Oryzias latipes: one gene and its partner. The protein of the gene in region 1 interacts with the protein of each later gene in a pairwise test. Links are inferred from orthologs where the notes say so. Each region holds a gene or a part of one and is shown on either strand. Other genes may lie near its edges.

What was found. The genes of interacting proteins can lie anywhere in the genome.
Region 2: the proteins of cwf19l2 (region 1) and meox1 interact in binary tests that used the Homo sapiens proteins (3 or more experiments, as listed by UniProt). The two-hybrid records come from large-scale screens. The link is inferred for Oryzias latipes from reciprocal best matches to the Homo sapiens genes CWF19L2 and MEOX1.

Annotation. Positions count from the first base shown.
Region 1 is NC_019871.2:20,779,321-20,790,047, reverse strand, and holds the start of cwf19l2 (CWF19-like protein 2), read right to left. Parts: upstream 6,113-10,727; 5' UTR 6,074-6,112; coding exon 5,981-6,073; intron 5,135-5,980; coding exon 5,024-5,134; intron 4,008-5,023; coding exon 3,882-4,007; intron 1-3,881. Other genes in the region: alkbh8 (alkylated DNA repair protein alkB homolog 8), read right to left, coding at 7,272-7,913, 8,431-8,580.
Region 2 is NC_019877.2:18,101,641-18,112,415, forward strand, and holds the start of meox1 (homeobox protein MOX-1), read left to right. Parts: upstream 1-4,558; 5' UTR 4,559-4,787; intron 4,788-4,863; 5' UTR 4,864-4,926; coding exon 4,927-5,425; intron 5,426-8,607; coding exon 8,608-8,780; intron 8,781-10,775. UniProt on the Homo sapiens protein: Mesodermal transcription factor that plays a key role in somitogenesis and is specifically required for sclerotome development. Required for maintenance of the sclerotome polarity and formation of the cranio-cervical joints.

The sequences.
Region 1 (10,727 bases):
AGTGGCTGGATTAGTTCAAATTTACATGCCCAAAGAGCAGCCTTCAACATATTTTGCACATGAACAGCACCGCCATTAGGTTGTTCTGCAAAAAGGACAAGCCAAGTGGCTGCGCAAGTTTTCACTATTTCCCCTCACCTCTGTCACTTCTAGTAAGAGGTCACCACAGTTTGGTTTTTCTTTTTTGGCTGAGATTTATCTTTCATTCACAAGAGACACTTCTTTACCGACATAATACTGAAATGCTCAAGCAAAGAAATCATCTGGTCAAAGTCATATCTTCAACCCACTACTTGTCTGCACATACTTGGTACTGCCCCAAAATCTCCTTTCTGCATTTGCCACATGGTATACTTGTAGCAATCAACAAAGCGCACTCTGGCATTATTGTTCTTGTACTGACTATTCACCTGGCATATTGCCCGTTTCCCTTTGCCAGGTATGGGAGCTTGTCACCAAAAACGGTATTCCTTTTTCACCTTCTCAGCCCCCGCATGTACCTGTGCAAGGTTTTTTACTGATTCTGGAAGCTCCCAGTGAATTTTACCTGGTTGAAAGTTTGATGCAGTTGGCAACAACAAACCCACAAACATTGGAGATTGCAGGAAACCTGTCAGTCCCAACTTGTTCCATGCGCGTGCCCTAGACATCAAAGTGTAAATGCCGCATGATATCTTTGAAGTGGTTTCTGACCATAGCTTTTTTAGATCAGTGGATTTCCCATTTTCGCCAACCATCTTGCATCTTGCGTTTTGCATGGATGCAAGTTTTATCCCCCCCTCACAAGGAGGATGGCAATGAAGCCCATTAGTTCAGGGAGGGCCATGAACCAGCTGTCATCTTCTGTCTGACGTTCATGCTGAACAACACAGTCCCGAATAGTCTGAAGCATGTTCAGAGTGAGGAAACAGGAAACTCTGTAAGCGAGTCGACACCGTACTTCTGACCAAAGCAGTTGGCTCTTCCTCAGCAGTGTAACATTCAATTGTGTTGTGATGGAGAGGCCTCCCAACCTTTTCTGAATGCCACATTGTGCCATCTTTTGCCTTTTCTGTTGGCACAGTGTGTCTCCTCTCTGTCGTCCTCTCTTTTCTGATGGCAGTGAAATCTCCTCATCAGTGATCTGATTTCTGAGATCTGAGCAATGAAAACCTTCAGCAATGTAAAGATATATGTTGTTTCGTTTATTTTAAATTTTTTTTTTTTTGTTGAATTCTAGTTAAAATCTACAAATTCCAAAACATGTCAAATAGGCCTCCTTTGCCTCCCCAGTCCAAGAAACATGTGGTTAAATTAAATTACTCTTAATTTCTCCTAGGTGTGTATGTGAGTGTGCCTGGTTATTTATCTATGTGGCCCTGCAATGGACTGGTGACCCATCCAGGGTGTAGCCCTCCCCAGTTGCTTGTGACTACCTGGGATGTGCTCCAGCAGACCCCTGTGATCCTGACCAGGATGAGCAGGCCCAGAAAATAAATGGATAGACAACTGCTAGAATCAGCAAATGAGAACAAGATGTTCATGAAATCTTATCAAAAGAAATATCAGTCTGAGTCCAGCTAAAGGACTATCTCTTCTCCCTCAGAGTCAAATGGGTTGACTTGCTCCAGGATCATTTTCAATGTCTGCTCAGGGTAGTAAAAATAAGGCATCTTGGTTTTTCAGTTGACACACTGGGAGTCAAAGTTTGTCAGAGCTTGGAGGCTCTTTTGAAGCAGAAAAACCTCCCCCACCCTGATCAGAGTAAAGAATGTGGTTAGCTAGGACATGTCTTCATCCAGATGATCAGGTAGTTGGTGCTGCATTTACAAATGAAAGGTGGCTAATTGAAGGCTGTTGAATTAGGCTACGTTCACACTGCAGGCTGAAACGACCCAATTCCGAATTTTTTGCCCCTAAGCGGCCCAATTCCGATTTTTTCATGACAGTCTGAATGACACAGATCCGATCTTTTCAATTGCGACCCAGGCCCCGTGGGTTTGCCATCCTGATTCCGAATTGTAGCCGTTCTTTTCAATTGCGACCGCCGTCTGACCGGCCAGGCGACTTGATTCCGAACCGTACGTCATCGACACGCAACAAACGTCATCATTTTGCGTTGAAGTAGGCGGGAACGAGAACGTAAACATCAACCATGGTGGAGGATGCTGCTGAGAGACCAGTCAGTGGAAGGGAAGGGAGGTCACGGATTGGATTAATATTTGGGGTGATCGCTCTATTCAGGCCAAACTCCAGGGCTCTTATCGCAACTGGGCGGTTTTTGAAAAAATTTCCAGATAAATGGCCGAGCGTGGTGTTGAACCTTTCCCGCGATAACTTTTTTTTCTTTCTCCCCTTTGACTGTGCTCAGAAGCGCGGGGGACGCGAGGCGATCCTCCTCCTCCTCCCTGTTCTGATCCTTAGATTCTCCAGAACGGGTTAATAAAGAGTCCATAGCATTTATTTTGGGGGAAACCTTCTTTTATTACCGTCCTCCGTAACACACAACATGAATGCGCGCCCACACTGCCCCCCCCCCCCCCCCCCTATTCTCTATCGCGGCACGCGCTTGCACACACACACACGCGGGGGCGAGGCCCCAACACATACACATTCCTCTTCCACTACAGTGGGTACAGACGATCCCGACTCCAATGCCTTCTTAAAATGAGAAGATTGTAATTGTGCTGCTCCTTTGTGAAAATAAATGTAATATTACAAAAAGAGCTCCGCTTTTGACAACACTGTTGTTGACATCCATTGTTAACGTTGGCTCCGCAAACAACAAGTGACGTTGTTCACTGTTGAGTATTCTTCTAGCTTCTGCGCATGCGGGTCTCGTTTGGGTCGTGTCACGGTCACACTGGAGATCACAAAAGTTTGGATTTACTTGGAAATGTGAACGGTCTAGCAAACAAATCAGATTTTTTCAAAAAATCCGAATTGAGCATTAAGCCCTGCAGTGTGAATGTAGCCTTAAGGCCCGTTCACACCGGGACGAATTTCGCCGGCAATTTTCGCCGACGTTTAACGCCTCGTGACTAAACAAAGGGCACCAATGAGAGTGTGCACACCGACGCGAAAAAACGCCACGCGCCAAAGCGTCAAAAAAAAAAAACGCCTCGGGTTCGTTTTTTTTTTCGACGCGTCGTGTCGAAATCTATTCGACCAATGAGAATGCCGCTTTTGCACACGTGTCTGGAGCTTCTGAAGTTACAGTAAAACACAACTTGGGGGCGCTCAAACACAAAACTGCCTTGCTGAGCACACATACCAGCGAAGAAGATAGACGCCAAGTAGCGTCTACACTGCTGTGAAGAAATAATGACGGACATTCTTAAATATCCCCGAACCAAGTACCAGTTGGAGCTACTGATGCTTGAAATATTCATGTTTTCTTTGTATGATTCTGACAAGCGCGTAAATACTTGCTCACTTCTTCTGAGTGAAAAGCGACTTTAAGAAGCGTAAAGGTGCGCAGCGCCACCTTGTGTACAGGAGTATTTCTGTTTACATTAAGCGCCATCTAATGTCAGGGAATGAAATTGCATGTTCGCTCGGCTCACCGTCAGCGAAAATCGCCTGGGTGTGAACACAAAAAACGTGGCGAAAAACGCTGGCGAATAACGCCTGGCGAATATTCGTCCCGGTGTGTACGGGCCTTGAGTCATTTCGAGTCACCCAGCCATTTGGCTGTGCTCTGGACGCTGCAGGGGGAGTGAAGAATCCTGGGCGTTCTAGTGTTAAATCGTAACTAAATTCTTCACCTGAACTCAACCCAAAAATATTTTTTCAGTTATAGAAATTATTAAAACATCTTTGTTAAGAAACCACTCAGAAAAACTTGTTGACAGATCATTTGTGTGTTTGTATCTCAGAGTAATGCATGGAAGACGGTCTACCTCTGAATCCACACTTGAAGCATCTCCTGCTTCCGTTTTCCTTTTCTCTTTCTTGTCCTTCTTCTTCTCTTTTTTCTTCTTGGATTTCTTCTCCTTTTTCTTCTTTTTGCTCTTCAAAGATCCATCCTGGTAAATGTTTGAATTTAGTTCTTTAAATGGAACCTCAGTTTGTTTAAAAAATATATTTGAATTGAAATAAATACAATTAGCAGGAAAAGAGTGAAGCTGCCAAAATTCTGCATAAGCAAATTTTGAAGCCACTTCTGCAAACATGAAGATTTACCAGCAAACGTTTAGCTTGAGTACAGGAAAAAAAAAAACAACTACCCAATATGTTGACATAAAAAAACAAATAAGTTTTCATGGTTTAAAAAAGATGAAAACTGGTTTGCTGTGAAGCAGGTGGTTTTAAATTCTAAAATGATAAATAAAACTTTATTTCTCCGACAATGGCAAACTCAAAGCAGCATGTAAGGAAAAAAAGATGAAAATTAGATTAGGTAAATATAAAAATAAGGCATAAATACTTTCTTAAGAAATGTGCCACCATTGGCATGTTTCTTTAACAACCTATAGCTCTAGAAAATGATTAAACATGATTCACGTCCAACTGCAGTCATCTTTTGATCCATTTTCAAAGCATTCCCAGTGGTATTTTAATAATAATTATGCTCTTTTAGGCAAAAATTTATAAAATCTGTGTTGTTTTCTAGGACAGTTTCTGCAGGGTGGCAGGAGTTCATTAGAAATTCACCTCGGAGTTGTGGGTTGGACTGTTGAAGTGCGCTCATTACCCATGAACCCTTTGTTTACACTCCCTCCAGCTAGCTCACAGCCCCTCACAACCCCAATCTAACATTACCGGTGCAACAAAACTGGCGAGCAGTCGTCCAGTTTTAAGACAGATTTCAGCTCAGACTGTCTGCTCCTGATTCACAACAATATGAATACAGAAATACTCAGAAATGCATTTTTAATCTCAATTTTCTTGATATATTTTATTCAACATGAGAAAAATGCAACAAAAACATGTTAAAAACAACATAAATACTATACTCATTGGAGTGGGTCTTTAAATGATGTATTTCTGTCATTGTGCTGCTTATTAAATGTCTTTCTGAAGTGAAACAGATACAACTTACGTCTCCTAACTGCTCCAGTCTCTGGTTGACTTCAGGAAGTATCCAGGTGTCCTCTCCTCTCTGCCTCTTCAGCTCCTTTCTCCTCTCCTCCTTCTCATATTGTTGCTTAGCCTTAAAAAAAATAACATTTATTATAATATCTACAGCATACCAGTATTTGTGGTTTTACAGAAATGTACTCACACATTATGTTAAATTATGCTGAAGTGTCTAGAAATAAATGGTAACACTAAACAAAGATTTGAACAAAATCTAGACTTCACATACTATTTTGGGATTATAAGTATAAATGTGAGCTGGAAAATTGATTACGATTATATATTATATTCAGATTATAAAAACAGCACAGAAAGTAAAGAGATTTGGCTAAATATGTTTTGCTGTATATCGGTTGAAGATAAATGTATAGATTGAGTTTTCCTCAGTTCTGGGCTCCACTCGGTTGTTGTCAGTTTCCTGGCGCTTGCGCAGAACAGATAAGAGTCTACAACACATTTATGTGCATTTAAAGGGAACAGCTGTAAGTGCTGCGTAAATAGCTATGTTCATGTTTGAATACAGCTATTAAGATGTTCTTGTTTTCTATCTGTGGACAGTGAATAACTACAATCTGGACAAAATGTAAACACGAAAAAGACAGGCTGCCGCCGTCTGCTGTGCTATATCGGTCACTGACTTTCACCACTTTCAGTGTTTGTGTCATATTTCCCTGCAAGCGTTCAGGGAGCATGCAGCAATGGTCCAAACAGGAATAATCTGAAAAATGTCCCGACAAGCGCTTGCTTAAAACTTCATCACGACAGCAAACCTTCTCAAAACGTCACATAGTCCCGGTTGACTTGATCGTTGATGGTACCATCCTTAGCATGTCGGTTAGCAGGTCAATCAATGTAAACAAAAACAAACGGCGGCGCGGAAATACTTCACATCTGCGTTCTAAAGAGTCCTAGTTCGTACCTTTTGTATCGCCTCTTGTCGCGCCTGTCGTTTCTTTTCTTTCGCTTCTTCGATGTTGCTGGAACTCTCAAAACTGACTCCGTACGCCGCCATAACTACGTCGTACACGGGTCTAGCCAACTGTCGTAAAACATCGCTGTTTACGACAGTTGTTTTGTGGTTCTTGTAGTTCCATTAACCCTAACCCTTAATGCCTAATTTTCCAAAGAGCTAAATAAGATGATTATGATAAATATAAGGCCCACTATCATTATTTTGTTCTATAGTTTTCAAGCATTACATGTGCAAATTAGCGGCTTCAGTGTCCAATGCAGACCTCTCCCATCATCTGTTGTCACCGTTGTCAGTTCCTGGAGTCCAAACCAAAACGGAGAAGCTGCATTCAGCTTCTATGCTCCACAGATCTTCTGGAACAGACTTCAGGAAAGCCTTAGATCTGCTAAAACACTCAGTTTTTTTAAACCCATGTTAAAGGCCCACCTGTTCTCAACAGCATTTAATTAATTTAACTTCAAAAGTTTACATCAGCACCGTTACTCTAAGCTTATTTTAATTTCCGTTCTTTTTAACTTTCTTTAATTTTTATTTTAATAATCACCCCATTAATATCTCCAGTAAATGTTTCCTTTAATGTTTTATGTAAGGCACTTTGAACTACCTTTGTACATAAAATGTGCGAAACAAACTTGCTTTGAAAAAATAAAGTTTGATTGATTTGCCTTAATGTTGGAAATAAAACAAAAAATCTGTGCTGGCTGCTCTCAATTTAAAGTCCCTGATAATTTCAAAGCACAAACTGAACTTAAAAGGAGACCAAAAATCACTTAGATGTGTTTCTTTTTCATTTATTGAATGATTTTAAATCCAAGTTGAAAACTCCCTTTTTCCCTCTGTCTTTTAGCTCAGTATGAGTTGGTGATTTTATTGATGTTTCTTACTTTTTTATTATGTTGTTTATTTTAGATTGTTGTTTTTTTTTAATCTTTCATTGTTAAGTGTTTTAGTCAGCCTCTGCTGGGTTTTTTTTTAAAGCGCATTATAAATAAACTTGACTTGACTTGAATTTTTAAAGATAAAAGAAAAATAAAATGATTTTTAAAATATGAAATACCAACAAGCAAAAACGAACAAAAGAGTCACAAATATCAAAGCCCTGTAAAAGACAGTTTCTCAAAAATCTACATTTATTAATTTCTCTTAAAATCTCAACAAGAACATCTTTTCATTTTGTCTCACTGTTCTGTTTTTTGTTCTGCCAAGTTTTTATTCGCACAGACATATCTTTCTGCATTCATTCCTTCTGCAACACAACACACCAGTTGCCCTGGTCATGGTAACTGCTCTTCACTTTGACTCCAGACACCTGAGCACACAGATGCTCCAGCTCCCCCTGCTGGAAAACATGGTAATAGCGATGAAAAACTGGAACTGTGCTACTCTCCAGTTTCAAAGCAGAAGCTGAAGCCTGAGGGAATGCTGGACTCAGCTTAGCATCTGCACGCTGGGAGGAGTTTGAGTCCGACCCCAGGCTTGAGTCGGGGCTGGAGCTTAAGTCAGGGTTTTCCTCTAGCTGCGATTTCCCTCCCTTAAGATGCCAGGGAACCAAAAGATCCTGGGAAGTAAAGGCTGTGCGGTTGGTGTGCACACTGAGGCGAGCATCAGGAACTCTACTAACACCTTGCATGTCAGAAGGTTTATGGCTGTTTTCTAAGTGGCAGGAAAGATCAGATACTTTTTCTCCACTGGATTTCTGGCTCTTTTCTGACAGTAAGTTGGTGGAACTGAACTCTCCATGGTCTTCTTTGAAGATTTGCTTGAGGTATTTGGACTTCTGCTTGTTGTATTCTTGTTCAAAAGCCCAAACATAGATAAGTGCCTGACCTCCAGGCTTCAAAAGTCTCACCAGCTCCTTCACTGCTGCCAGTCGGCGCTCCTGGTAAATACAGGAAAAACATTCAAACTCATTATTTCAACAAGACTTTCGATTAAAAAAATCTAAATTTGACAACAAAACAATATAAAAATGGAACTTTGTTGCACATCAAGGCTAGACAAACTTGGAACTTTAACATTTATAGAAATATTCATTAGCTGGACCAACAAACCTCATTGTAATTTAAAAAACTATTAAGCTTTTGTCAAATTTAAATATTTTCCACACTCAATAAAAATGTCATAGCTATATGTAACATAAAATAATAATAACTATAGTTTTATTACCTATTTTGAACCATTTGTTATTATAATGTGAGAAAAATTACTGCTGCATCTCAAAGATGGCGTTTTGTAGTTAATAGAATTTTTTTTTTTTTCCATCTGAGATTTTAGTATTTTTTAAAGCCATTTTCCCACATAACTCATTGTCTGCAGATCTTTGTGGGTCTAACAAAAAAAAGAGGCAATGATTGTCACATGTCAATCATCTTTGTATGAAAATGTGGAGAACATACCGCAGTGGAAAAATGATGAATGACCGCGATGGAAATGCAGGCGTCACACGACGCCGTTCGCAGGGGAACGCTGAGGGCGTCTGACACAAACGCATGATAACCCCTCGCGGCGCAGATCTGAACAAGAGCAGTGCTGCGATCACAACCCACCTGAAGGCAAATAGACACAAGAAAGACAAGCTTCAGCTGAAGACACAACAACTGTAAGAGGAACACACAAGCAGGAAATAAGAACAAAAATGACTTCAAATACCAAAAGAAGGATTTTTTTTAGTTAGTTTAGTTGTCTTAGTTACTTTAAATGATTTTTCTTTCATTACTGGAGTGATACCAATCATTCTGTCCATGTCTGTAAACACAAATGGACCCGAACAAACAATCATGTTTTAAATTGAATCTTATTCTAAACGGCAGCTGAAGACACTGAGGTGCTTTGTAGGAGACAAAAATGGAAAGGATTAAACAGAGAAAAGCAGGGGAGGAGGAAATAGAAAAAAAAAGAGGAATTATCCTCGGAAATTGGTGTGTGACCTGCATAATCACAATGTTCTCAGTGTTGATTTATAACAGCTACGCCTGGAGTCGGCATAAGCTGCTTAAATGCACGTCCCAGATCCCAAATATGAATATCCCCCATGTGCACACGTAAACAGAAAATGAGGAAATTACCATGGAAACCAAGCTAATGAATGCGATGTAATCAAAGCAGGGATCTCCAAAAACCTCTGTGACAGCTGTTGTTGAATGGATGTATTTGTCATTCAGGACAACTACACAACTTTTACAAAATACAACAAAACTGTTCAACTGCATTGTTTCTTCTAAGAAAACCTTTCACCACCTAACTAAAAGTCCCACTCCAATCATCTTTTGATCTTTTGTAAAATCCTTCCCAGTGGTCTATTAATTATGATGGTGCTGTTTTTAGCCCAAAATAAAAAAAACTGTCTTTTTCTAGGCCTAGGGAATCGTTTCTGCAGAGCTGCAGTATTTAATCAAACCCCCTCCAGTGAAAATAGTGTTTTTGGTGTTTTTAACATGTTCTTGTAGCATTTTTCTGATGATGGAGGACAAATATAAAAAAAAAATTAAACTTCAAAATTGCATTTCTGAGTATTTCTTTATTTAAATCATTCTGAATCAGAATCGTAATTGTGAGGTAGAAAATAAGCTGGACGGGTCACAAGTTTCCTACTCCGCTCCATTCTGATGCATCCACTTGTAGACAAGTAGATCCATTAACGTCATCATTTTCCTCGCCTGAGCTGCCCTTTGACACAAAACTGTACGGCTCGATTGCTCCAACAATGCTCGCCTTTTTTCTGCATGGCTCATGTTAGGTTGGCGTTGCGAGGAGCCGTAATCTAGCGGGAGAAAGTGTAAACCAGGCCTTGATGGGATATCAGCGCAAGCTAACAGTCCCACCAACAGCTCAGAGGCGAATTCCTGTTGAACTGCTGCTGTTCTGCAGAAACTATGTCCTACAAAACGACACAGGTATTTTGATTAAAAACATCATGATCATAATTAATAGACCTCTGGTAATGCTTACAAAATAGATCAGAAGATGATCGGAGTGGGGGTTTAGAAATTCACCTGAGTCGGCACAGAGAGAAGACTACAGTTTCCTGTCAGGTGTCTTACACTGAAACTTGAATATGTGCAGGAACGTTCAGTTCATTATGTATGAGCAACATTTTGCCCAGAAGAGGAAGTCAGAGTGCAGAGAAGAAGCACTGTCCTGTTTGCTGCAGCAATGGAGGAGCGTCTGTGAGTGGAGGGAGTGTTATGATGTGGGACACCATCATACTGGAAAATGAGAAGCAGATGAGTAACATTGGCTACGGATGGCTGCATTCCTGCTGCAGCCCAGGCTCCTTTTAAAAAGGATGTGCAGTATCATAAAGGATGGGGTAGTTCTGGACCTCTGTGATCAGCCTCTCGTCGTCTATGGTGTTAAACGACCACTATGATGCTCTATCACACCCTTTGTGGCCCCATGTCAGCGGAAATGACGTAATGCTTACACCACGGTGGAAACAGCGGAAAAAAGGGTTTTATTTTGAAAAATGCGCCGGATGCACTTTCCACTCGCTCGCATGATTTCCGGTTTAGGTTGTTTCATTTGCCTCAACTTTGCAAAAAAATGCTCCAGCTCGCTTGGAGAAGCCGTGGGAGTGCCTCCCGCACTTTTCCAGCTACCTAAAGACTCCGGCGGCCGCACCAGAGCTGGACTGGATGCAGTGTGAGCCCAGGGCACGGCTTCTTGAAGGAAATCCTGAAGTAGAACCTTCAGG
Region 2 (10,775 bases), on another chromosome or scaffold:
GTGAAAATAAAATAAAAGCAATAAAATGTACAATAAAATATGCATTTAAAATAGCCCAGGAATACCAAGTTATGGGGGGAAATAGGCAACTTGGAAAAGGTGAGTTTTTAGTTTCTTGGTGAATTGTGAGAGAGAGCCAATGTTTCTGAGGTCAGGAGGTAGTGAGTTCCAGAGCCTCGGGGCAGAGCAGCTGAAAGCTCTGTTTCCCATAGTGACAAGGCGAGCAGTGGGGACATCCAGATGAAGGCAGGAGGAGGATCTGAGGGTACGGTTGGGTGTGGCGACATGAACAAAATCTGATAGATATGAGGGGGCAAGGTTGTGGTTGGATTTAAAAGTCAGGAGAAGTATTTTGTATGTAATCCGGTGTGTGATCAGTAGCCAATCGAGCTGCTGCAGAACATGTGTGATGTGTTGGATGGAAGGTGTTTGAGAGATAATTCTGTCATCTGAGTTTTGAACAATTAGCGTATTCACAACATCTATCACTGCAAATATTTTTTAGTAACACGCAAAAAAAAAAAAACAGTCTGACACTGCAATCCATTTAGCCGCGTTAGCATTTTTACAAAAACACCAACCTCATTTGCAACATGTAAAAAAACAGATAGACATCTTGATAGAGTGCTGCATCCCTATCAAAAACGCTTCATTTAGCACAACCAGGCTTAATCCATATATAAGCCATTCTGGATGATAAAGAACACAAAAAATAGGGTTTTTATCATTTTTATCATAGTGCGGAAAATATGCTATATATATAAGCAGTGAGTGGCACTCTTGCTGTTAATCCGCCTGTTGGTTGGATTATCTTTTCTTTTTTTTTTTTTTGGTCTTGTGTTGTATGTTTTCGGAATTCCCTTCACATCGCTCCGCTTTAACATCAGGCCCCACATGTGTGCAGAGTGGTATATGTCTGACGCTCCCACAAAATTTAGGTTAAGTCGGGGTCACAAGAACTCTTGCTGTCATCCTCAAGAGAGTGATGGCGTTCTTCATTCTGGCAAGTGTCAAAAAGATGGATCAGTTTTAAACACACATGCGCAAATACACACAAACAAGGTCATGCATAAACTAAACAACATTTAAGGCACCACTGCAAAGGAACAGCAACAAAAAATGCACCCAAATTTGAATGTTGTTTTTCTGAGGCAGAATTGTTTCGCTATCCCTGGCTGTGCGCACATCCTGACACGCACTCGCTGCTGGACTGACAGTAACAGGTTGTGGGGTGATGTGACTCATGTCCAGCTCATTTATCGGTGTGTATGACTGAGTCCACATGCAACACAACCTCACAAAACCTTAGCTACAGCTGTTTAGTGGCAACCAAAAAAGTGTAAAAATCTTCTTAAAAGTCCAGTTTTTCTTATAGTATTTACAGAGAAAGTATTCATCATACAATCTAGAACTATGAACTATTATAATCGATTAAGGTGGAAAAATACAGTATGAATATTAAATCTTGCCCTGACTAAAACATATCAATTTATAATTTTTGCTTACAACTATCCAACAAACTATGTCCAAAAAATAGAAATATAAATTCACAATTTCAACCTTCTATAGTTTTGTTAACAGCATAACACCAGATACAACAAGCCACAAATGTCCATATTATTATGCAAAGTCTATTTTTCTAAATACTCAATGCAAATAAAAGTCAGCATAATTTTCAACTAACTACAGTAACCATTAGAGTATATACTAAATGTTATTAAATCAATCTCCTAAAGATAACCGTTTACTTCGAAAAATAATAACCTTAAAAAGCAGTGTTCCCCCTTAATTACACAGAACAGAGTTCATCAACATTTTAATAAATTCTTGATAACTGAAAATGGTAATTTGTTGAATTTTAGGAGGTCATATTTACTGAAATCTAAAGCTATTCCAATCAATAACATCTTAATCAGTTAAGCTACATTTGAACATAGGACTCCATATTTTGCAACAGCTTCACAATTCTTGCACTCATTGAACTTTTGAGTTTTTGGAGAGTTTCTGCTTTTTGTGTAATTTTTTTTGCAGGATGTCGGAATAGCAGCTGCTGGTCTCTCTGGAGACCCACAAACATTAAGGTGTAGGATCCTCCAGAGGCTTGCAGTTATAAGGAAACCTTGTTTTCGGCCACCCCTAAACAACACTCAAAAACAGAAATGGCCGCAGTGGGCCTAGACATACATGAACACTCATTTTCAAACAGCATTGTTCACTGATGAGTGCCATGCAACCCTGTGTGGTCCAGATGGGTGGAATAGTGGGCGGTTGGATGGCCACCGTGTCCCAACAAGGTTGCGACGTCAGCAATTCAGACAAAGTATTTTCAAAGTCATACTCTTCAAATAAATTGTGATATATTAACTCTGCTACAGTTTTAGAATTTATTGGGATATTCTGCATTTTCACTAAGGGAGTTAGAACTGTCGTCATTGTTCACCCTGATGGCTTTACTTTTAGTTTCTTTCTGCCTTGTCTTAAAGCTGTTTTCTAGGCCTCTTATAATTCTTCATACCAGAGCTACCACATTGATCACTGTGGCTTTGTCTTTAAGTTTGATGTGCATCCATCACAGTTTTGTCAGTCAAGATCTTTGGTCAGATTTTTTACATACTTTATGGATATCTTCTGGCAGAACGTTTGTTCTAAAACTGCATGTGCAAACTCAAACACAAACAAGCTCACTCCTGCATAATGAGAGTGGTTGCCATAGAAATGATGACTCAGACCATCTCGGACCAATCACTGCTTACTGGCTCCAACATGGCGGCACTCATATCACGAAAATGTGTTGGCAGAATTGACTTGATTTGGTCGGAACTGATATGATATGATATGATATGAGTGCCGCCAGTGACATTACACTCATTTGGTCAAGTTCTCATAGTCAAGCCTTTCGATGGTGACCTTGTCTCACAAGGGTCCGTGTTTGGTCCTTGACAGAGTTTCACACCTGCCTAAAAAATAAATCCCCATAAAACTAAGAACACAAACTGGCGCCAGTACAGAAAAGCTGCTAAACAGTGAAGTATGTCTGTTGGCCTTATTGGCAGATGTGACGTTGTCTTAACTGTAGAATGCAAGAATAGAAAAATGTTTGTCAGGATTTTGTTTTACTTCTTATAGCATCTTAATCCTTACTCCACATTCTGTAACAACTGCAAACTTCTCATTAATTTTCTTTGGACTCCATGCAAACAAAATGATGCATACATTCACATTGCACAGACACCCTTTAATTTCCACTGACATACAGATAGCCCCCACTCTGAGCACAAATGCAGCATTACCCCAGTTCCCTGCAGTGACATCAGGCCTGCCGGTAAAAACCAGGGATGCTTCATGGCTCAACAATCTACTGGCTAAATGGAAAGGCTTTTCCTGGGACCTCAAACACTCCCCTTTCTGGCTCTTTATTTCATTTTGTCCACAGATTGTGTCAGCACTATGGCTTTCTGATAAAATCTCTTTTTTTTCTTGCTTTGCCCTTTTTGGGGGGCTTTTTTTTGTTTATTTGAGAAGACAAAATCAACACAATAATTTTTCGCTCACAGGTTAACCCCTTTTTTTTCAGTGTTTTGCTTTCGTGTTCTCCTACTTCAGAGCTTTTTTTCATTATTTTCTGTCAGTAAAAGTGTGATTCCATCCCCCCTTCACTGGGATGTCAACAGTAAAATTGAAACGCGTGGGGAGGGCAAACCTCAACTCAAAAATGGAAGAAGCTTGAAAAAAAACCTGTTTTTGAGTGCAGTGTGGTTCAGTGGGTTTATTGGGTAGGAGATATGCTGAATTGAAGTCCAATGTTTAGCCAAAAAAGCTTTTCATGGTATTAGAGACATGACTTCATGAGGAAGTGACTTGTGTCTTAGGTAAGCATGCAGGAATTAAAAATCAGTGATCAGAAAATGGAGTAAGGGCAGGTCCTGTCTGGATCTGCACGCGAGCACTGTCACACACAGATGCTGAAAGAGGCTCCTTACAGGAAGAGCAAGGAGTTCTAAATAGAAATGGAAGACTTTGAGATGAGCTGGTTGTGGTGAAATATGGCTATCCGGGGTTTTGCCGGAAGGTGTGAACGGTCAGTCCAACCAGGTGGCATTATTTTGCACATGCCATAAAAAAGAGAAACAGGAAAGGAGATTTAATATGGAGAGGATAGACTGAGATCAGGGTTCGGAGGGAAAACTTTCCTCCAAAGGGTGTCAAAAAAGGAACTAAATTGGGTGTCAGAAAGCACTAAGGAGTTGAAATCTGTCAGCCCCCCCAGTTCCCACATGGGTGGGGGCTTGCTTTTCAACTTCTGGGACAATGTCCCTTTAAAAAGCCCCACGTCTGGAAAGCTCATTAGATGTGCATATAAAATTTCCCCTGTGATTAATAGTTGATGAGGAAGGGTTGTTTGGAGGGTACCACCAACATGTGGCCAGCAGGCTCCTCCCCTGCAGGCTCAGATTTCACTCCATAAACTTGCCACTCTTTCCCACCTATATGTTTAAAAAGGAGGAGGGTTCACTTGTCAAGAATGCCTCAGAGGAGTTGTGAAAACAGCCAGCCCCCCCCCCCCCCCTCAAAAAAGGGGGGGTCATGCAGTTGCAGATGAAGCTCTCACGCTGATCCACAGCCAGTCAGAGCCTTGAGGGAAAGAGGTGTGAGAAGGACACAGAAAAAAGTGTGTCTGGACCAGACGTCACGCACACTCCCACTGAGACGTGGAAACCCGCTGCCATAGGAAGGCGTTCATCCTCACGCATTCTGAGCAGTGGAAAAGGCAGCAATATCAGACAGACGTGAGTATTCCACCGGCAGATGCAATGAGACGCCCATGAGGTGGGATCAGTCAGCTGAAGTGTTCGTTTCTCACAGACCTATCGAGGGGCTCTTTTCAGAGGCTTTGCTCAAGAGCGTGTCCAGTGGGTTTGCATCGTCATGGATCAGCCGGCCAGCAGCTGCATGCGGAGCGCCCATCCCGGCAGCCCCATCTGGGGCTGCATGAGGAATCCACACTCTGGGGTCCCTGGAGCCAACCTGCAGTCACCTTACCAGCAGGCCCCTTTCGCCCTTCACCAGAAGCCTGACTTTCTGGCTTACACGGACTTCTCCAGCTCCTGCCTGGTGCCGGCCGCGCCGCACGCCGCCTACCCGCGTGACAACAGACTCTACCAAGAGAGCCCAGGAGGCTATCAGAGAGCCGACTGGCAGTTCAACCCCTGTGAGACCAGGGTGAGAGCGCCCGAGGCCTGCCCACCTGTGGCTCCGGCCGTGGTTAGTGGAGGCGGAAGTGGCGGGCAGGAACTGGACAACGGAGTGAGCGACAGGCTGCCAGGAAGGGTTTCCACGTGCCTGGAGGGAGAATACTCACCGCAGAGCGTGGCGTCAGCTGATTCCGACAAGAAGAGCTCGAGTAAGAGGAAGAAAGACATCACAGGTGAGACAGGTGGAAATAATCCAGACGACATGAGGAAAACCAAACAAAACTCAAATTTCGGAATAACAGTATTTCTCCTGGAAATTTTACTTATTTCTGCTGATCTCTGGTGAACATCAATATAGAGAAAGAAAAAAGTTAACCAAACCTTCTTGAGTTGCCAAAATCTCATGACTAATCGTTGTTTCACATTTTTCTAATAAGAAAAAATATTAAAAACAAATAATTCAGGGATGATATTTACCAGAACAGTGTTGGGTTCATAAAACTTTTCCATGCTCCTTATTGTAGCTGATTCACTTTTTGGCACACCAAATCAGACTAACAGTATGACTTAAAGGTGAAAATGTGCTGTTAAAGAAGCCCATCCTGTTATGATGAAAAAGCTTTAAAAGACTAAAATGTTCCATTCAGCCTCATATCCACAAAGATCCATCTTAGGTTCATGACTTCAGAAAATACAAAAATGCTGTTCTTTGTTATTCAGAAGTGAATATTTTGCACTTTAAAGCAGCAACTCATAATCAGACTGTAACTTCCAGAACATTTCACAACAAAGCAGCTACTCTGTGTATTTCTCTTTTGTTTGTAGTTGCTGTTTGCCTGTCAGAATATTGTTTTTATTCCGAAATATGTATGTTTTTTTGGGGTGTTGAATAAATATTGGTAGACCATAAAAAGCTATCAGGGGCAAGATAATTGTATTAAACATTTTATTCATATATGTACCAAATAAATACACTTTAAAAATGTTAAAAAAAAAGAAGGGCGTAAGCACATAATTAGAGTATTTTAATTTGACAGATAAAAATGATCTTTTAATTCTGCTTATTCATCATTCATAGTTGTAAAATGGCAAAAATTTCAAAACAAATAAAAAATTCTGTTTTTGAAATTAACATTGCTAAACAATGACAAAAAAGACGATGGAAGACCCCAACTTACCTTATTGTAACTTCCACTCTCTAACCTGAAAATGTGCCAGACCACGTCTGCTAAAGTCACTTCCCTGCAAGCCCACTTCTTACATTCTTATCCATTGACATTTTCCTGTCATTAAAGCGTAACACAATCTCTCACTGAGTGCATGCAGCATGTCTGACCACGACATCAGCTCTCCGCTTCAGAAAAGAGCTATTTCCTTTTTAAAAATTGACAAGCTGGTAGGAGAGACCGCGTAAGGAAAAAGGCCTGAGGGCACTGCGGACACAGACAGCTGATGGGAGTTTCTGCAGACACCCCAATGCACCAAAACTGGAGAGATGTGACCAAAACTAATAGGATTTGAAGTGTGCACTTTAGTCCAAAACCTGACTAATGTAATGCAAACTGAATTCAACAGATATTTTGACTAGAAAAAAAAAACCTGATTTGAAGTTTAAATCTACTTATATTAATTTTTATCCAAGATAAATAGGTCCAAGAACTGACACAGAGGGCGAAGTTGTTGTAACCCTTGTGCTATCCTAGGCACTTTAACATTGGGAGTTGTGTCATCTAGACCCACTAGACAGTGCTCTGAACCTTTTTTCTTCAATGATTTATGATCTTCACTGGTGTCCATGGATTACATGAAATCTTTCCACCTTTATCCACCTTTGTCATGGTAGGGATAACACGTCAATGTAAGGGTGGGGTCATCTAAGATAGCACAAGGGATAAATATGTAAAATTGATCCATACTTTTTGTTTTTGTTTAATAGACCAATAAATCATTTTTTTAATCATGATTAATGTATCTGGATTAAATAAGCATAAATCCTTATTTAGTTTTTTCAAAAAAGAGAAACATTAACGTCTTTTTTTCTATCAGATTTTTCAAAACTGCCAGAATAAACTGATTTATGAACTAATCAATACTAAAAAAAAAAAGGGTGTAAGTGTTTACATGTACTTGCTAATTAATCCGAGCATACAAACGCTAAAGTTGTAGCAATCAGACGCCAACTGACAGCAAGCAGCTTTAATTGCATCTTCATTGAGACAAAGTGCCTTTGCACCATCCACCCACAAAGCACCAAATGGTATTTTCCTGTGGGACCCCGCTGGGCGCAGAAGGCCCATCCATGAGAGTTTACGGCCTCCCGCTGTGCTGGATATTTATTGGGGGCCTGTTTAGTGAAAGCCTGTGCTTGCCCCACCAGGTGTTCAGCCTAACTGTAAACCTGTTTGAAACCACTCCAGGTCCAAACCCCCAGTAACACCGGGGCTCCATCAGGAGCATTTTGCTGGAAAACAAAACAAGGCGTGCACAAACACACATGTGCACAGACACACAGTCACACATCTGGACGAGGTGTTGCGGTCAATTTTTTCATTCTGGCCCACTGCTCTGGCAGGCTCACTGCTAAACTTTTCACTTTGACAAATTAGAACCATTTTGTAGAGATTACATCAGCTGCTGGTGTCGCTACTGCTGCACAAAACTGCACAAAGTTGAAATTTGAATCAACCAGCTATTGCACATGTTTAAAAATATTTTAAAAAAACTTTCTGATGTTTTAGGAAGAAAACTAAACAAAAAGTAAAATTAAAATAATCTCTTTTACATTTGAATCTGAAATGAGAAAATTCACCATTCACCTACATTCATGGAGATTTTTTTCTTTTTTAGTGCAGCCTGTCACACAGCGATAAGGTCATGCCGATGCGACACACACAAATACACACGCTCAAACCCAGAAGACCCTGGACACATCCGCACCTTTGTTCTTTTGTTCAAGACCTTTACGACGTTCCGCTGCATTCCTCCCTTAACTTGGTCCCTCTGTGGTCTCTGTGTGGAGTGGCGGCCCCCAACCCGGTGTCCATGCTTTCTCTAGCATTTTTTTTTTACACACACAACATGCATAAATGCAAGCCGAACTTTTGCTGTAACCTTTGAGGTGAAAAACGCTGCAACTACAGGTGAACAGAACTCCTAATGGTGCGTGACGGTGGTCTCCTTTAAACACAAGTTTTAATGTTTGCTGTATAAAAGGGCCTCCTGTTAAACAGCCTTCAGAGTTGGTTTGAAAGGTCCTTCAGGACTGCTTGGAAGATGAAAAACACTGAGATCTTTTTCTAATCAGGTCGGCTGTAAATGCAAGAAGTCAAAAAAAGAAATGTGTCAAGAAAATGCAGTTTTTTGGAGGGTACAAACAGGTGAACTAAACCTTTCTTTTTTGTTTTGTTTTTTGCAGATATCCAGGAATCTGGATTTAAAGTGGATTCCAGCTGCAAAGCAAGGAAAGAGCGCACAGCGTTCACTAAAGAGCAGCTGAGAGAGCTAGAAGCCGAGTTCACCCACCACAACTACCTGACCCGACTGCGGCGCTACGAGATCGCCGTTAACTTGGACCTCACAGAGAGACAGGTGTGCTACTTTCTAGCATTCAAATCCAGCTGGGATGGACCAAACATTGTCAGACGATGTTTGACTAAACTTCATAAATTCACCAGTCTAGCATTTTAAGTTTAACAAAGATCGATCAGCTGCCACAAAAACAATGTATTTTTTCTCCAAGGAGATAAATAGAAAAATTTACTTTTCCAGGAACAAAATGTTGTTTTAAATATTTGTGGAGCATGAAAAAATTGAGCCATCCTGCCAACAAGGTACCACGTATAGAAGATGCTAAATATTCCAAATTTTCTCTCCAGACTGACATTTTTTGCGCCTCGTTACTTTTGAGCTTGGAGCAACTTGTGGTTGAGAAGGACGACATGCAGCTGGGATGATCGGGGGGAGAAGAGCTGTGGACTTGGTGAAATCGAGCGTGCATGTGTCAGTGGTGCTGGATGAAACCCCAGCCTGCCTCTCAAAGGCAGCTCCTCCTAATGAAGCAGCGGTGACCACACGTACTGCTTTCTGCTCCCTAATCTAAGTTCCAGACCTCTGAAAGACAGTCCGTCCTCACTCAGCGCTCCTCCTGTTCCTCGGCTGCGTTTTCTAGTGACACAGTCTGCAGATTAGCTGTCATTTCAGTAAGGGGGGCGGACACTTGAGGGGGCATGTGGAAACAGATTTATAGGTTTTTAGAAGATGAGGCACTCTGGGATGAGGAGAGTTCAACTAAAAATTCCTGAAATCACCACAGTGACTGATTATGAAGAAGCATCTCATTTTTATTGAGACTAAGAGTTGCAAAAAAAATTTAAGGATAAAAATTTTTATGTCTGCCTACAAGTCACATTTCAAAATATAGCCAAACAGCTAAAACATTATGTGAGAACAAAATTGGGGTCTTCTAATTAGGATTATGCAATATTTAGCTATAATTTAAAAGCCTGTGCTGTTTTTAAGAGATATTTTCTGCAGACCTGAAGGGGCTCATTAGAAATTCGTTTTTGGGTTGTTGGCACAAAAGTTAGCCTAGCTAATTTCCCAACATGTCTTTGTTTACATTATCTCCCACTAGTGACATGCCCAAGCTAACATTAGTATGGCAAAAGTAACAGCAAGCAATATCGGAGGTATCCAGCCGCACAGTTTAGAGCCAGATGGCAGCTTAGACGAGGAAATGAAAATGTACATAGATCTATATGTCTGAAAATGAATGATTTAGAATTGGACCGCAAAAAGTGAGACTTTAGCCCGCTCACGGCAGTCGCTGCATCATAAGTCAGGTTTTTTTTAAACATTGTTTTCGTCTGCTCCAAATTCAATACAATTTTGATAAAGGAATACTCAGAAATGCAGTTTTAATGTTAAATTCTTTTAGAAATCTCCTCCATTATGGGAAAAATGCTACAAAAACATGTTGAAAACACCAAAACACAATTTTCATTGACATGGGTCTTTAAGTAAACTCTTCCTTGGGCACATCAGAGGTTAGCTTATATAAACCTCCTCTGATTGTATGACTAGGTTCCTTTGAGCTTATTCTCTAAAATGGAAGGAAAAATAATAATAATGTAGGGAAAAGATGGGAAAAAAGTGCAAGCAAGAAGTAAGAAGCAAATGGAAAGAGATGATAACATAAGCAGCACAAACATAATAATAAAAAAAATCTCCATCTTTTCTGCTTTCTGGGGATATGTGTTGGTATAGAAAGTAAAAGCATGCTTATTTGTTTTGGCCAATTTTATTGTGTAAGAGCAAATTTAACCTTAAATAACCCAAAAACATTTTTCCTACAGTTTTGTAAAAGGAAACCGTTTTCATTTGGCAATTATTTCAAAAACTTAATGACTATAAAGTGTGTTTGAAATCTTCACTGCTCTCTCATCTTGTTTCCTGTGACTTCCTGACAAAGTTTCAAGCGTTTGCAGGGTTTTCTCTCTGGACAGTTAAAATACGAGTTCATTTTCATTTTACCAGATTGTGGTGATTCACACGAGCTTCATTCACAGTGCACGTCTGCTAAAA